2 linked regions of the Nothobranchius furzeri genome follow. The protein of the gene in region 1 purifies or fractionates together with the protein of each later gene. This does not show direct contact. Links are inferred from orthologs where the notes say so. Each region holds a gene or a part of one and is shown on either strand. Other genes may lie near its edges.

What was found.
Region 2: the proteins of exosc9 (region 1) and dis3l purify together in Homo sapiens (affinity purification with mass spectrometry; 3 studies listed by BioGRID and IntAct, with this or other methods). This does not show direct contact. The link is inferred for Nothobranchius furzeri from reciprocal best matches to the Homo sapiens genes EXOSC9 and DIS3L.

The regions. Positions count from the first base shown.
Region 1 is NC_091746.1:81,904,694-81,908,208, reverse strand, and holds the end of exosc9 (exosome complex component RRP45), read left to right. Parts: intron 1-1,779; coding exon 1,780-1,868; intron 1,869-1,954; coding exon 1,955-2,104; intron 2,105-2,194; coding exon 2,195-2,370; intron 2,371-2,448; coding exon 2,449-2,524; intron 2,525-2,608; coding exon 2,609-2,672; 3' UTR 2,673-2,771; downstream 2,772-3,515. UniProt on the Homo sapiens protein: Non-catalytic component of the RNA exosome complex which has 3'->5' exoribonuclease activity and participates in a multitude of cellular RNA processing and degradation events.
Region 2 is NC_091749.1:66,618,264-66,622,837, reverse strand, and holds the start of dis3l (DIS3-like exonuclease 1), read left to right. Parts: upstream 1-1,333; 5' UTR 1,334-1,469; coding exon 1,470-1,599; intron 1,600-3,189; coding exon 3,190-3,340; intron 3,341-4,574. UniProt on the Homo sapiens protein: Catalytic component of the RNA exosome complex which has 3'->5' exoribonuclease activity and participates in a multitude of cellular RNA processing and degradation events.

The DNA of each region.
Region 1 (3,515 bases):
CAGGTCCCTGCCTACTTTAAGAACGCTGTAATCCACCCGCTTCTTAAAACACCGAGTCTCGACCCCTCTCTCCATAGCAGCTTCAGACCCATCTCTAAACTTCCGTTCATCTCCAAGATCTTGGAAAAGGTTGTGGCTAAACAACTCACAGCTGCTCTTGATGAACAGAACATCTATGATAGCTTCCAGTCAGGTTTTCGTAGAGTTCATTCTACTGAAACCGCTCTTCTTAGGGTCTCTAATGACCTTCTGACTCACAGTGATGCAGGGTTCTGGTTCTGGTCCTGCTGGACCTGACTGCAGCCTTTGACACTGTTGACCATCACCTGCTACTGGAGAGGCTGAGAGACTGGGTAGGCCTATCAGGATCTGCTCTGGAGTGGTTCTCCTCTTATCTCTCTGAGGGCTCCTTTTCTGTGGCAGTCTCCAAGTTTAGGTCCTCCACCACCTCCCTTACCCATGGTGTCCCACAAGGTTCTGTGCTGGGGCCTCTGCTCTTCCTCCTCTGTCTGCTTCCTCTTCAGCACATCCTGAGCTCCTTCAAAGGAATCTCCTACCATCTTTACACAGATGACATCCAACTGTACATCTCCTTTAAGCCCCATGAGATGTCTAAGCTGCAGCTGTTACACACCTGCTTAGACTCTATCAAAACCTGGATGGTGGGAGCTTTCTTCAGCTGAATGAAGATAAGACTGAGATCCTCATCTGTGCCCCAGACAAGCTGGTTCCCAAAGTCAGAGACTCTCTTGGTCAGCTTGCTTCCCACACCAAACCCTCCGTCAGGAATCTTGGCGTGACCTTTGACCCAGCTCTCACCCTGGATTCTCATGTCAGTTCTCTTGTTGGCTCTTCCTTCTTCCATCTCAGGAACGTTGCTAAGCTGAGTCCCATTCTGTCCCGCTCTGAACTTGAGACGGTTCTCCACTCCTTCATCTCCTCACGCTTAGACTACTGTAACTCTCTTTTCACGTGTCTGAGCAGAACCTCCCTGAACCGTCTACAGGTGGTTCAGAACGCCTGTGCTCGGCTTCTGACCAAGTCCTCCAAACACACCCACATCACCCCGCTTCTCCTCCAGCTTCACTGGCTGCCAGTCAACTTCAGGGTTCATTTCAAGATCCTGGTTCTGGTCTATAGGGCCTTACATGGACAAGCACCATCTTACATTGGTGATCTTCTTAGTCCCTACACCCCCAGCAGGTCCCTGAGGTCCAGTGATCAAAGCCTACTGGTTGTGCAGCACCAGGCCAAAGACCAAAGGTGACAGATCATCTGCTGCTGTCGCCCCCAGACTCTGGACCTCTCTCACCCTGAGCCTGAGATCAGTGGACTCAGTGGTCTCCTTTAAAAAGCAGCTGAAGACTCACTTGTTCAAGCTGGCTTTTGTATGACCTTCTTCACCTCTCTCTCTTTATTCTGCTCTCCCCACCTATTCCACCTTCCTCAGGATCCACTGATTTCCCTCTTTCCTATTCACTCTCTCTTTCTTAACATTTTTTTGATCACAATTGTCTATTTTTTGCTCATTTTAAATATATTTTTAACCATTTTCTAAATTGTTTTTTATATTTTAACATTTTTGTTTTTGTGAAGCGCCTTGTGATTTTTATCTTGAGAGGTGCTATAGAAATGATATTTTCTTCTTCTTCTTCTTCTTGTGACTCCCACGTGTCAGTCTGAAGTATATTTAGAAGGAATTCTTTGAAAAAAGACTTTGTTTAATAATTTAATTCCTAGTTGAATCCATCAGCATGTTTTTGCTCTGTGTTGTTGTAGGTTATGAGATGCAGTAAAATAGCCAGCGTCAAAGTGTCTGAAATCACTGAACTCATCAGTCAAGCCTTGTTAAATGACAAGGCTGCCAGGTGAGTGGCTGTCTCCTATTTATTACTACATTACCCACAATTCCCTTTAGAGGCTACATTTGAATGATGTGTTTGAAACGTTCCAGGAAGGCAGGTGGTAAATGTGGCTTTGCCGAGTCCATGCCTCAGGATCGGATCACAGCTCTGAAAATGGACCAGACCGATGTAGAGATGACCAACGTGAGCCAAACAGGAAGTGGGGTGATCCTCCAGGGAGATGAAGCCCCGCCCCCAACGTATCCTGAACTGAAATGAAAGGACAAAAAAGGAACGGCATTTGTTTTTGTTTCTGACAGTTAGTCTCCCTAACCACACACCCATACCAGAGTCCCATCCCCAGTGGTGCCGGTGCCAGGTGTTGGTCAGGTGGGTCAGGGTCTGCAGAGCTGGGGACTGGAGGAGGAAGAAGAAGATGATGATGATGAGGAGGAGGAGAGCAGTGGAGATGACCAAGTGGAAGAAGTGACACAGATAAAACTGTCAGAAAAAGACAAGAAAGAAGGTTATTTGTTTTCATAACTAAAAGTCATGGAAGAAGAAAAAAAATTATAATTGAACTTTAATGTGTTTTGTCTTACAGCAGCTGTGGTGGAGATTTCAGACAGTGAGGAAGAGGAGGTGGTCATACTTTATCCAGAGACGACAGAGAAATCAAAGTAACATCTATTTGTTTGATATGAAGCCGAGGAGGTTGATAAATTAAACTAATCTCACCGGTTTCTGATTTTTTTCTTCTTCAGGAATTCTGGGTCCAGATCTGACCAGAAGGGGGCAGCAGCATCCAAGAAACGCCAGAAGAAATGACCGCAGCTTGAAACCGAAACAGAGAAAATACTACAATAATATGATATCGAAAAAGGCTTAAAACTGATTCAAATAAATTTATTTTTTACATTTCTAGAATCATTGTTGCGCGAATCAAAAGTTTGTCCATCATATGTCACTCATAAGAAACTTAAATAAGTCATGAGTCAGGTTCACGATAACACACGAGATTCACGCTTAGACAAAAATTCACCGTGTAGATGTGATGGTGGAGTGATAAAAAAAACAAACCAATTTACGTTAAAAATAATCAGGTTCCACCGAGATTTGAACTCGGATCGCTGGATTCAGAGTCCAGAGTGCTAACCATTACACCATGGAACCATACTGGCATCGTCGGGCGAACTCCTTCCTATTGAAAAGCAGCAGAGACATACTGTTAATTTGTTTCTGTTTAGGTTTGCAGACACAACAGATATCTTTCGTTAAATGAATGCCAGTAGCACATTGAATTGCCTCTGTGTATGAAATGTGCAATATAAATAAAGCTGCCTTGCCTAGTGAAATGCGTTGTGGAGTCCTCTGGCGTCACATAAGTGCAGATCATTTATGGTTAAAATAATGACGGATTTGGACAGAGTAAAAATAACTAAGTGGCCCGTACGGGGATCGAACCCGCGACCTTGGCGTTATTAGCACCACGCTCTAACCAACTGAGCTAACCGGCCGTGATGAGATCTGATGACAGGTTTTGTTAAATAGAAGGAATGTAGTCATCAGTTTTTTGAAGTAGTTTTTGCTTACCGTGGTTAGTTGAAACGCAACTGTGTGTGCTCAGCTTTTGACCAAATACTCAAAACACACCCACATCACCCCACTTCT
Region 2 (4,574 bases), on another chromosome or scaffold:
CAGTTTATAGGTCTTATTTGTAGGTCTTTATTATAATTTTGTGTTTGATCATTTATCAGAGCTCCTGGGCCATTGTAGACCCCAACAACATTTCATAGGCTGTACAAAGGCTCAAAAAACAGTTTCTAGTTGTAAAAAAAATGTTTTGGGTCTTTTTAAAATTGTATATAAATGTAATATCCTCTGGTGGCAAGAATAAGCTCACGGAGAGTGGGTTGTTCTTTGGGAATATTTATTACTCCAACACAGGTACAGCCATGCTTCCCGGCAACGAACTTCCGCTTGTCTAATGTTAAAGTACACCCCACTTTGCATCCAGAACACTAGGTCCACCTAGAGGCTTCCTGTAAAATGTTTAACCTCTCACAATACTACAATAAATTCATCACATGAATCATAAAAGATTTGCTGTTTGCCACAGAGGGGGGAAAAAAAGTGCTGATGACAGAATTTCCTGTTTAGTATTCTAACCAGAAAAGGTGTTCAATACTAGGCTAGTAAAACTAGACCAGATTCCTCCCTTTTAAGTTTAAATACAAATAATATACTTATTTAGTCTGGCTTGCCAGGCTAGTTCAACACAGATACCTTTAAGCAAACATTTAACTGTTTTGTGAACAATTTTTTAATGTGAAACTTTTCCAGATAAAAGTGTTTTTAATCAACCCCTAGAACATATTTTGTAAACGTCGTCTTTTTGTTTATTTCAGAAAATTCTGGTAAATTCAAAAACCTTTTGAAAAACACCTGAAGAATTTCTGTTTGCGGGACAGAAGAGAATCCATGAGTTTTCTTTTGTCCGACAGTACATGAACGCAAAAGGACAGCACCAACCGTGGCTCCGACTCTCTCAACACGGAAACAGGTGTTGTGCCGAAAGGAGCATGCCTGCCGAAATGCGTATCCCCATGAAATAAGCATAGAGGTAAACTAGAATACTTTATGAGCGACGAGGCTAACACGCTTCTGTTACGTGTTTTTCGTGAAAGCGTTTTGTTTTTGTTTACAAATATGATGAAATAGTTATAAAAAAATTACGTTTTTGAACGTTTGAGAATAATGTTTTAGTGAGCATTTTTTATGTATTTTTGTGCTTTCTCCCAACTATTTTGTTGTTGGTTCTTAAAAAACACACGTGACACAAAATTACTCATTTTAAAATATTTATTACTACTTTATTACTATTTCTTCAAATAAAAATGTTTTAAACATAAATTTCTTTAATTTATCTGCCTACAAACGATCTTTTTGTAAGGAATCACGCAGATAAACATAATAATATTACATTAATAGTACTTTTTAAGCGCCTTTCCACAACGGGGATGCACATTTCGCCAGGCATGCTCTTTTCGGCACAACACTTGGAGCTTCCCTCTCACAAGTCCGCCAAAACATAGTCTTCACTTTAAAGTTCCGGTTTGTAAACTTTGGGTCAGCGGCTGCTGATCCATTTCGGTTCAGAGTTCGGGATGATTAAAACCGAGAAGATTCTGCACCTGAAGAGTTACCGAGGCCGGAGGGTTCGGGTGGTTCGGGAGCACTATCTGAGGGAGCGGGTTCCCTGCTTCAGCTCTCTGTGTCAGGCGGCCTGTGCTAACGGTAAGTCCGCCAAAACACACAACTAGTTGCTAAAAACACACAAACAGCCGTTTAAAACACAACTAGTCGTTACAAACACAACCAGTCTATAAAACACACTACTAGTCGCAAAAAACAAACAAAAATAACTAAATAAACCGGCCGATAAAACACATCTAGTCGCTAAAAACACAGCCAGCCACTAAGAGCTAACGAGTGTTTTATTTCCAGTCCTTCATTTATTAAACCTTTATTTATTTTTATTTAACCAGATGAGTCGATTGAGAGCTCATTCTCGTTTACAGAGATGATCTGGCCAAGATGCAGCAGCAACAGACACATAGTTAGCTTTACACTAAAGAAAAACAGATAAGATAAAAACATACAAGATAAAACAGTTAGACATAAAGACAAAGGACTGTTCTATTATATAATATGTACCAGCGATCCAAACAGACTTAAAACTGTCTTTAATGTGCCAGTGTGTATTTTTCCTGGTTGATGGGGAGCAGTAGACACCTAAAACATTGCAAGCAAGCAGCATTTTTGTGTTGGAGTAAGACCTTACCAACGGATGCCTATTAGGGTCAAAAAGCCCTGAGGAGTGCAAACTTCAGGAAAATGACAAGCACATCAGACCTCCTTTCATCAGTGGCAACAAGTGAAGAGATAAATGTGTAAAACAATGTTTATTAATAGTGAAAGTTTTATAATCGTTTGTTACTAATCAGTAAATGCATGGACGTAATTGGGGGGGGGGGGGGGGGCATGTCCCTCCCCACTTTTTCCAACGTCAAGTTTTGACCCCTGCACATTTTACCATCCAAAAACAATATTACGCTATACTAAATTGACACTGGTTGAGCTCTAGGACCAAGCAGAAACCAACCGTTTGTGTTGAGACCTGTTTCCCATTAGAGCATACTGTAAAGATTTTTTTTGATTCATTTAAACAAAATTTTGCTTTAAACTTCATTTTCTCCAACAGATTTAACAAGCAGATTGGTTAAACTTGATTTGATGACTCGGACTGGAGCTGTTGGGCTGCGCAGTGGTGCAGTGGTTAGAGCTGTTGCCTTGCAGCAAGAAGGTCCTGGGTTCGCTTCCCGGCCTGGGATCCTTCTGCATGGAGTTTGCATGGTCTCATTTTGCATGCGTGGGTTCTCTCTGGGTACTCCGGCTTCCTCCCACAGTACAAAAACATGACTATTAGGTTGATTGGTCTGTCTAAATTGTCCTTATGTGTGTGTGTGTGTGTGCATGATTGTTTGTCCTGTGTGTCTCTGTGTTGCCCTGCGATGGACTGGCTCTCTGTCCAGGGTGTACCTTGCCTAATTGCCCGTTGACTGCTGGAGATGGGCACCAGCCCCCCCGCGACCCTACATGGACAAAGCGGGTTCAGAAGATGGATGGATGGATGGATTGGAGCTGTTGGTAGACTCACATTCTTGTCCAACCGAACGTTAGAGGACCGATATAATTTAATATTTGTATTTTCTCTGATGGATTTATTATCACAGGTAGATCAGTGTAACAGAACATCTGATTTCTGTATAAAACAGTGAATATGTTGTGTGTAGCCATGGTAACGACCTGATGACCCCTCAACAGATGGCAAGGTGTTGCCCGGAGACTTGACCCACTATGTGGTGCCGGGGGTGGAGGTGGTGGTCAACTTCCTGGAGATCCTGGAATTCAGGGAGCTGCAGGGAGTCATCTTCACCCAGACGGCCTGCCAGGCTCTGCAGAGTAAAGGGCGCAGGTACAACACACACAAACACACACACACATAGAGGGTGAAGTGGGTTGTCTGAAGAACTCCAGTCTACCGTCTTTTTTTATTCCAAAGTGATGGAGAACATCTCATAAGTTTTCCTGACAAACCATTAGCAGCTGGTTCTGGTGTGTGTGTGTGTGTGTGTGTGAGAGAGAGAGAGAGAGAGAGAGAGAGAGAGAGAGAGAGAGAGAGAGAGAGAGAGAGAGAGAGAGAGAGAGAGAGAGAGAGAGAGAGAGAGAGAGAGAGAGAGAGAGAGAGAGAGAGAGAGAGAGAGAGAGAGAGAGAGAGAGAGAGAGAGAGAGAGAGAGAGAGAGAGAGAGAGAGAGAGAGAGAGAGAGAGAGAGAGAGAGAGAGAGAGAGAGAGAGAGAGAGAGAGAGAGAGAGAGAGAGAGAGAGAGAGAGAGAGAGAGAGAGAGAGAGAGAGAGAGAGAGAGAGAGAGAGATCGGCTGGCGGGATGATGTAGAGTGATATCTGCTGTAGGAAAATGCAATCAGCAAGGGCACAAAAACAAAACACGCTCAAAGATAGCGACAGAGCTCGAGACTAGGTCATATACCCAAACGAGTTAATCATCCGACGTCGTGTAGGTCTCAGACTGCCCCTCATATAGCCAGCCGGTGATTGCAGCTGAGTGGCTGCAGCTGGGCAGTTCTCCGGCACCGCCCACCTGCAGGAGAAGGGTTAGTGTGGGGAACAATATACCTCAGGCCATGACAGCTTGACCTTCTCTGGAACCGAAGCCTTTAGGAAAAGCAGCGGTTGCCGTCCGACCAGACCAGTCTTGGGATACTTCCGGGTCACGACAGTTTTATTGGCATCTAGCGAGACCAAAAAGGGGGTCGTGATGGTTCAGCTTTTATTCTGAAAGGAACCGTTGCAGCAGTTGGAACAGCAACAGATTTTATCCAGCTTGTCGTTAGGTTCTTTCGGCTGAAGAGGAAAGTTACGGATTGAGAGAGAGAGAGAGAGAGAGAGAGAGAGAGAGAGAGAGAGAGGGAAGGGAGAGGGAGAGGGAGAGGGAGAGAGAGAGAGAGAGAGAGAGAGAGAGAGAGAGAGAGAGAGAGAGAGAGAGAGAGAGAGAGAGAGACCGGGACCGGGTTGACCTCATTATGTCAGAGTTCTGCTGATGCAGGTGTGACTTTAACCTTCTGCTCCGGTTTCTGACTGACTTGAACAAACCTGTAAATAAGGATTCCCAGCTGACCTTGTCTCCGAGTC